2 linked regions of the Canis lupus familiaris genome follow. The protein of the gene in region 1 interacts with the protein of each later gene in a pairwise test. Links are inferred from orthologs where the notes say so. Each region holds a gene or a part of one and is shown in the gene's direction. Other genes may lie near its edges.

Region 1 (3,807 bases):
TGTGGTGTGTTATGGATTGGTGAGTGAAAACAATTTTTCTTTTTGGGAAAATTTTTAATATTTCTTTAATTTAGTGTTACTTTGTTTGCTCATTAATCATTTCTTAAAAAAAAAAATCATGTCTATTTATGGTCACGTTTGTCCCAAACACATTATACAGAGTAGAGTCTCATGTATACCTATCTTTATATAATACTCTTGGTCCCGAAGTAAATATCTGAATTATTTACTAATTCTGTCATTTTGTAGTTATACATTCTCTTTTCTTATATTTTGTTATTGTTATCATTCATGAACAAGTAGCTTAGAATATTTCTTAGAAGCAAAAAAAGTCAATGTGTTTCTTTTTAGATAATTTAATAAAGCCATAATATTTTTGTTGTTGTTGCCTTTAAAGGGCTGTGCCAGGACTTTTAGGTAGTAGGATCCACTTCAAGAAGCAGTTTTCTGACCCAGTAGAACATGGTCAGAGACACACAGCAACAAAAAGAGAACTAGCTACTGGTCGAAAGGCCATGCAAAGGCTTGCAAAGATGATGTCTGGATGGTTTCTCAGGCGTACCAAGACTCTAATCAAGGATCAGTTGCCTAAGAAGGAAGACCGGGTGAGAACTGCATTTGTTTAAATTATTAATTTCTCATCGTTTAAGTTATTGATCTTTCATCATGTTTTATTTTTTCTGAAAAAAAAAATTCTTTTTAAGAGGAAATCTAGGGGATCCCTGGGTGGCGTAGCGGTTTAGCGCCTGCCTTTGGCCCAGGGCGCAATCCTGGAGACCCGGGATCGAATCCCACGTCGGGCTCCTGGTGCATGGAGCCTGCTTCTCCCTCTGCCTATGTCTCTGCCTCTCTCTCTCTCTGTGACTATCATAAATAAAAAAAAAAATTAAAAAATTAAAAAAAGAGGAAATCTATTTCCTGTGGTACTTTATGAATATAGGGGTTTTTTTTGTCTTTTACTAAGTGTGGAAAAAGTTGTTATATGCAAATTCAGAAAGGATTAATTGAGCCCAATCTAACAGGTTAGTTGACAGGTTTATTGTTAGTATACATAAAACTCATTTCTCTTATTTTATAATAAGAAGGCTTTTGGTGTAATTCTTTCTCAATGAAAAAAGAACTCTCTCCCTAATTTGTTTTCTGTTCATATTTTGCCCTTCATATATTGTGCACTATTTGTAGCCCCGTATATTCTTTGAGACCTTGTAACAGATACAAGACTATAGTGTTTAAAAGGTTTGTTTTATAGGTTTGTTTCTTTTAGAATGCTGTTTATTTTATACAACCAACTTAATTTGAAAAAGTTTAGGAAAGTTATAATTAAATTCCATTAATTGTTTAAGAAAACTTGAAGAGTAAATCTTAAGAGTTTTTTTTACATGTAGTGTCCTCTCATAGTTTTTAATTCTGTGGTTCTTCTAACTCAGGTAATGGAATAAAGGTTCTATAAATTACTATGAATTAAGCTTAATTAATATTGTCCCAAGTATGGGTAATACTATCAAATATTCTCTAGTCTTAGAATATCCTGTTGATTATTACTTTTAAAAGACAGATTTGAAAGGCAAATATACTGATATACAAGTTGGGGAAATTGACTTTTTGATCTAAAGCAAATACTACTATTTAATTGAAATACTTAATGAATCCCCACTTTTAAAAATATTTTGTGCAATTTTATGTATATTATTTAGTTGTCTATCCAATAGGAGGAATAACTATAAATATATGAAGAGAGACTTGTGCATAGAGTGTTTAGACCATGGGCTCTGAGATGAAATAATATAAGCTTGAATCCTGGCTCCCCTACTTAGGAGTTTTGTGACTTTGAGCAATTTGCTGTCTTCCAAACCTTGGTTTCTTTGTCAGTTAAATAGGAATGATGATGACAGTGCCTTACATGGTTGCTCTGAAATGTGTGGCATGTAAAAAGTGTTTAGTAAATGTTACTATGTGTTTTAAGGTACTTAGGAATAAATTTAACCAAGGATGTGAAAGACCTATATAAAACTATAAGAAACTGATGGAAGAAATTGAAGAAGATACAAATAAATGGATGCATACCCATGTTCATAGATTGGAAGAATTAATATTGTCAAATACCCAAAGCTATCTATAGATTCAGTGCAATCCCTATCAAAATTCCTATGGCATTGTTTTATAGGAATAGAACAAACAATCCTAAAAGTCATATGGAACCACAGTAGATCCCAAAATAGCCAAAACAGTCTTGAGAAAGAAAAGCAAAGTTGGCAGGCATCACATTTCCTGATTTCACAGCATGTTCCTAGGCTATAGTAATCAAAACAGAATGGTACTGGCATAAAAACAGACACATAGATCGGAGGAGTAGAATAGAAATAAACCCATGCATATACATACAGTCAAATATAATATTTGACAAGGGAGTCAGGAATACTCAGTGAGTAAGAAAGGAAGATACTCTTTTCAATAAGTGGTGGTGGGAAAATTGAATATTCATATGCAAAGAATGCAATTGAACTTCTGTCTTAACACCACTCACAAAAATTAACTGGAAATGGATTAAAGATTAACACACAAGACAAAATCTTATAAAACTCCTAGAAGAAAACAGGGAAAAAGCTCCTTGATGCTGGTCTTGGTGATGATTTTTTAAATATGATATCAAAACTATAAGCAACAAAAGCAAAAATAAAATATAAGACTATGGGGTGCCTGGGTGGTGTGCAGTTGATTAGGTGTCCAACTCTTGGTTTCAGCTCAGGTCGTGATCTTGGAATGGTAAGATCAAGCCCTGAGTCGGGCTTAACACTCAGTGTGGAGTCTGCTAAAGTTTCTCTTTCCCTCTCCTCTGCCCCTGTGATTCCTGCTCTCTTTCTGTCTCTCTTTCTAAAATAAATAAATTCTTTTTTTAAAAAAAGTGAGACTACATCAAAGTAAAAAGTTTCTGTAACACCCAAAGAAACAATGAGCAGAATTTTTTCTTTTTGCAATATTTTGTAGTGATTTAAACATATAAACATTCATAAATAGATGGCTTTTCCCTTGTATTCACATTTTTTAACTCTTACTATGTGTTTTATGACCCTCGTTACATACAGCTACATCTAGAGGACTTTTACCAATTTCCAGTGCTACTAGAAATATAAGGTAAATTACATCCTACGTAGCTTAGTGGCATGATTATATCAAATTTTCTTTTTTTGAATTTTGGCATAAAACAGAAACTTGTAGTTGCTTTTATGTGTATTAAGTTCTTAACCTTTACTAACCTTAGGAATTTATAGCAGGAAATCAAATACAAATTGTTACAAATAGTAATATAAAGTTTTAAATTTTTTTCTAAGTTTTCAAGTAGTTCAGTAAGTATTATTCATACCATTGTTCTAAAGTTTCCCTTTTCTCTTTTCCTACTATTTTTTTTTTTTTAGAGATTTTTATCTATTTGAGAGAGACAGAGAGAGCAAGTAGGGGAGAGGAGCAGAAGACAGCAAGCTCCCCAGTGAGTAGGGAGTCCAATTCAGAACTCCATCCCAGGACCTGAGCCAAAGGCAGATGCCTGACTGACTGAGCCACCCAGGCACCCCTTCTTATCTAGTTTTTTATTTGACCTAAACTATAGTCACTTATTTGCATGATGGGCTAATAGTATGAAATCCTGAAAAGACCCAGAATGTATTCAGAAATATATAAGGAAACCACTTGTTTTTTCATATTTTAATTCCTTTCAATTGAAAAACAAACTCTATGAGATTTGAAAATAAAGTTATCATTTATAGGGTTTAGATTAGGGTGGGAGAAATTGTCATATTAATGCATCTAAAA
Region 2 (4,473 bases), on another chromosome or scaffold:
GAGGAGAGCATCTGGTCAGGGTCTGCAAGCCCCCCTGTTGTGCGCCTCCAGCCGCTGGAGGGTCATTATTCCTGTGGCTGATGTGTTAGAAATCACATTTCAAGGGGCTGGTCTCACATTTGGGGGCTGGACGGTCGGTTCTGATCATACTTTCACCTCCAAGTGCAGCAGGGGAAGGTTGACCTGTGACGGCTTGTGCTCGCATGTCTTGTCACGGCCTTGCCCTGGGGCTCCTTTGCTGGCCCCTTAGCCTGCTCTAAGCTGAGTGTGCGTCTTAAACTGGATGCGAGCTCCACGTGTCCACTGCAGGTCCCGGCGTCAGGCTAAACTTGACGGCAAAGCACCAAGGACGCCTGGGGAGCTTTGTGGAGCCGCCGAGGGAACACCTGCGCCGATCTGAATGTTGTGTTAGTGGCAACTACTTTTAAGATAGCAAGTCTAAGCAGAGGCTTTCGTTTCTTTTACTGCACCCAAGGGGCTTACCCTGGGCCCTCTCCCCCTGGGATGTGTACCCCCAGCAAGGAGAGTCAGACTTGGTCCTTGTGGGAATCCCAAGGTTTTTTTTTTTTCCTTTTAAAATGCAGACCCTCCTCCTCTCACCCTAATTTCCGACTCGGTGGGGGCGGCCCAGGAGTTGACACTCCAGTAAAGTCTGGCTGGCAAACCTCAAATGAAGCCATGTTTGGGGACTGTAAAAAATATTCCACTAAATAGAACATTATTCTTGACACTTGTTGAAAACATCAAGGCAGGCTCTTTTCAGGGTCAGATACCCTAGGTTCCTGGTCGGGGAGAGCCATGGGGCTTCACTGTGAACGCAGCAGGGAGAAGGGGGTTGCCTGGTCAAGGGGGGGGGGGGGGGCGGCCCTGGTTCCACTCTGCTCTGGGAGGCCTGCTGAAGGCCACCTGGGTGACCACGCGCGCCCTGGAAGGCGGGGAGTTAGAGCCGCCCAGGTGTGAGGGCGCTCGGGATTGGGGGCTGGGGTCCGGGTCCGCGGCTGGACGCTCGCTGCTGCGCCGGGGCCCAGAGGGGCGGGGGAGCCCCAGGGCCCGGCCCAGCGGGGAGCTCAGAGGGGCCCCGAGTAGGGTCCGCCCGAGACGCAGGGAGCCCGGGGCAGGGGGGGCGGCTGCCTGCGGGCGGCGAGCGGGTCCCCGCGCGGGCGCAGGGGGGCCGGAAGTGGGGCGCGCGGGGGGCGGCGGGGTGGGGGTGGGGGTGGGGCGGGGGCGCGCGCAGGGCCGGCCGGGTCCCCGCCGCCCGGAAGCCCGGAGGCCCCGGAAGCCCGGAGGCGGGGAGGCCGAGCCCGAGGAGCGCGCGGTCCCCCGAGCCTGGCCCTGCACCCCCCTCCTCCCCCCCCTCCGCCCGCCCGCCGCCCGGTGGAGGTGGAGGTGGAGGTGGAGGTGGAGGTGCCCGTGCCCGCGCGTCCCCTCCGCTCCCGGCTCCGGCTCGGCGGGCGGCGCGGGTCCGCGGGGATCGGGGCCGGGCTCGCTCCGCCTCTGCCCCTGGAGCCCGGGCGGGGCGGCGGCCGCTGACCGGCGGGGTGAGGCCGGGGTGAGGCCGAGTGAGCGGCTGCGGGGCCCCGCTGGCTGCGCCCAACCTCCTTGCGACCTTGCGCACTTCGCAGCCCCTGACGGGGTACCCCGCCTTCCAGGTGAGCGATAAACGACGACTGGGAGAGGGCTCCCGGCCTGTCTCGGCTGACCTCTGCCCCAGTGAGGTCCTGGGCGGAGCCCTGGGCTGCGGGGGGAGGGCGAGCCTCGGACCTCGGACCTCGAGAGCCCAGGGCGGGGACTGAGTCTGGGCGGGGCGGGGGGGCCGGGCTTGGGGGTGCCCCGAGGCCACGCCAGGCCTCCCCAGGCCCCACCCCCTTCCCCGGCCCTCCTCCCTCCTCCTCCCCGCCGCCCTGCCCCTGTCCCCGCCCCCTCTGGTCCCTGCCACCCCTCCCCCATCCCTTTTGCCCCTCCCCCATCCCTGCCCCTCTCCCGGATCCCTGTCCTCCTCCCCATCCCTGCTGCCGGCTAGAATCTGGCCTGTCAGATGAATCTTTTGGATTAAGGGAGTGTGGGTGAATTAAAGTGGTCCTGGGGTTCCCTGTAACTGCACCAAGGTCCGAGGAAATGACGGGTCTGGAGTTGGGGAGGTGAGGGAGAGAGGATGGAAGATACTTTAAGGGTGGGGCAGGCTGGGCACCCCGGGTACAGCCAGCATCTGGGCCCTGCTCTTTGCCCAGCTAACCTCTGGCCTGTCCTGACCAGTAATTACAGTTGATGGCTGGGAGTACTCTGACTTACTAGAATTCACTAAACTTTGTTCTTTGTAGGAATTAAGGTATGACTCCCATGCAGGACAAACCTGGAATTCCTGGTGTGATGAGAATGGGGTTTGCTGTCCTGATTTAGAAAAGCAAGTCGTTAAGCCTGGGCTCTGACTTCAGGAAAGAAAAGAGAAATGGAAGCTGTAAAATCCGGGGATAAGAAGAGGGTCCTTCCCGCATGGATGACAACCCAGGAGACCCCCAAGCCAAAGAGGGCAGTGCAGGGAGCTGCTGCAGCAAGGTGGGGCAACTTCTGGTTGGGGACCTGGGGAAACAGGAGGAGGGAGGTTTTGTGGGCATCACACTTGCTGGGGCTGAACCTTCCGGTGCTGGGGGAGCAGGAGGTGGTGGGTGTTCCAGGGTCCCAGGCCCCAGCTGCCTCCGCAGGGTGCTGGTGCAGCTCCCCGGCCAGGCCTCAGGTGTCAGCTCCCAGGCAGCGCTCCCCTTCTGGCTAATGCACAGTAGCCAAACTCTCAGACACCAGTTGTCCAAGGTGCCGGTGTCTTCATTTGCAACAAGCATTGTGACCTGACCATTAAGTGGTCAAGTTCAGTGGACCAGGGGCCAGTCTGCCTGCAGGAAGATCAGGAACAGATGAGCAGCAGTCGCTGGAGCAGCATGAAATCAGCTGAATGATGGTGGTTTGGGGGAGTCCTCAGGCCACCAGGGAGGGAGCGTCCCTGCATCCTCCTAGGCCCGGCACTCAGTGCTCCCCTCCCTGGCTCTTCTTACTGACCCACCTCCCTTCAGACCTTCTGGGTCCTGCTTTATAGTGGCCACGGGTGCAGGTGGGTTTTGGTCATGACTCGGCCTGATAACCTGTCATCTGACCCGCTGGAGTCCGTTGTGTGGGGGCAGGGACTCCAAGGAGCGGCCTTCATGCCCTGTTCCAGTGGCGGCAGGTGGGAGGGCCCCGGGCTGGGACTCTTGCTCTCCTTCTCTTCCCCCTTGTGAGACCTGAGACCCGCCTGTCCCCATCTGAGCACCATGCCTTCCTTTCAGACTGCCTGCAATGAGGACTGCGTACTGCATGAGCGAGGCTGAGATGGTAGACGTTGCTCTGGGGATCCTGATTGAGGTAAAGTCCACTGTGGCTCTTAGTCATGATCAGAAACTGCGCTGGGCCCTCGGTTAATGGCACCAAAAGAGACGCCCTGCGTTCTCAGGTGGCCTCGGGGAACCCCGTCCCCTGTCATCCCATGTCTTCCACCTGTCCCGTGTCTAGCACATCTCTCACGGTCCCACTCCCCTTGGCCTCTCCCTGTGTGAGATGTGACTCAGTGTTTGGGCGGGACACCTGGGGCGGGAGTGGCCGTGGGAGGGAGGGCAGCTGTCCCTGGCGTGACTGGGCTGGTAGCTGGAGGCGATGGGGAGCCTTTAGATGCTTATGTTCTTGGCGGGGTCTCAGTTGGGTGAGGTGACTCCTTATCCGAATGCCCCCACCCAGGTCTTCTGGCTCCTGAAGCAAATAGGGGTTGTATCACCGTAGCATTGTGTGTATGTTGACTGGGTACTTCTGTATATATTGGCTCACTGAATCCTTGCTGTCACCTGGCGATGGTTATTTCAGATATTATCCCCATTTTACAGATAAAGGAATTGAGGCCCAGGCCTTTTCCCATAGTGACACAGCCAGCAAGTGACAGAGCCAAGGCCCGCACTCAAGTTTTGTGTCCTGTGCTCCTTCCTGTCACCCCTGCATTTCCAGATATGGTTTTCCTAGTGTTCTTTTCCACCCTGGTATTCCTCAGGGGCGGGGAGGGGAGGGGATGGGGAGGCTCTGATTTAGGAGCGCCGCTTGACCTGGTCACTTGACCTGGTCACACGCTGGCTTCACAGTGGCTTCTGCACACGCTCTGCTTCGCCGACGATGGATAAACCCGCACGTTCCTTCGGGAAACAACACAATGTCTGTTTTCCCTGTTGTCTCTTCTACTCCACAGGCCCGGAAACAGGAAGAGCCCTGGGAGTCAGTGACTCCGGCTGGTGCTGATAAGCCAGAGCTGTTCCCAGCCCGCTTAGCGTGGGCCCCGAGTTCCCCTGGGAGTAGAAGTGAGGATGAGGACAATGGGAAGGAGGCCCCTACTCAGGGCCTCAGCCCCCAGCAGGGACCCGCGGGGCCTGACTCTGCATGCCGCTCAAGCCCTGACCAGGACGAGGA

What was found.
Region 2: the proteins of ERCC6L2 (region 1) and CYREN interact in binary tests that used the Homo sapiens proteins (3 or more experiments, as listed by UniProt). The two-hybrid records come from large-scale screens. The link is inferred for Canis lupus familiaris from reciprocal best matches to the Homo sapiens genes ERCC6L2 and CYREN.

The regions. Positions count from the first base shown.
Region 1 is NC_049222.1:71,449,598-71,453,404, reverse strand, and holds part of ERCC6L2 (DNA excision repair protein ERCC-6-like 2), read left to right. Parts: coding exon 1-19; intron 20-397; coding exon 398-605; intron 606-3,684; exon of another isoform or gene 3,685-3,807. UniProt on the Homo sapiens protein: Promotes double-strand break (DSB) end-joining and facilitates programmed recombination by controlling how DNA ends are joined in a spatially oriented manner during repair.
Region 2 is NC_049237.1:12,653,971-12,658,443, forward strand, and holds the start of CYREN (cell cycle regulator of non-homologous end joining), read left to right. Parts: upstream 1-1,492; 5' UTR 1,493-1,649; intron 1,650-2,144; exon of another isoform or gene 2,145-2,318; 5' UTR 2,319-2,446; coding exon 2,447-2,553; intron 2,554-3,314; coding exon 3,315-3,390; intron 3,391-3,902; coding exon 3,903-4,025; intron 4,026-4,255; coding exon 4,256-4,473. UniProt on the Homo sapiens protein: Cell-cycle-specific regulator of classical non-homologous end joining (NHEJ) of DNA double-strand break (DSB) repair, which can act both as an activator or inhibitor of NHEJ, depending on the cell cycle phase.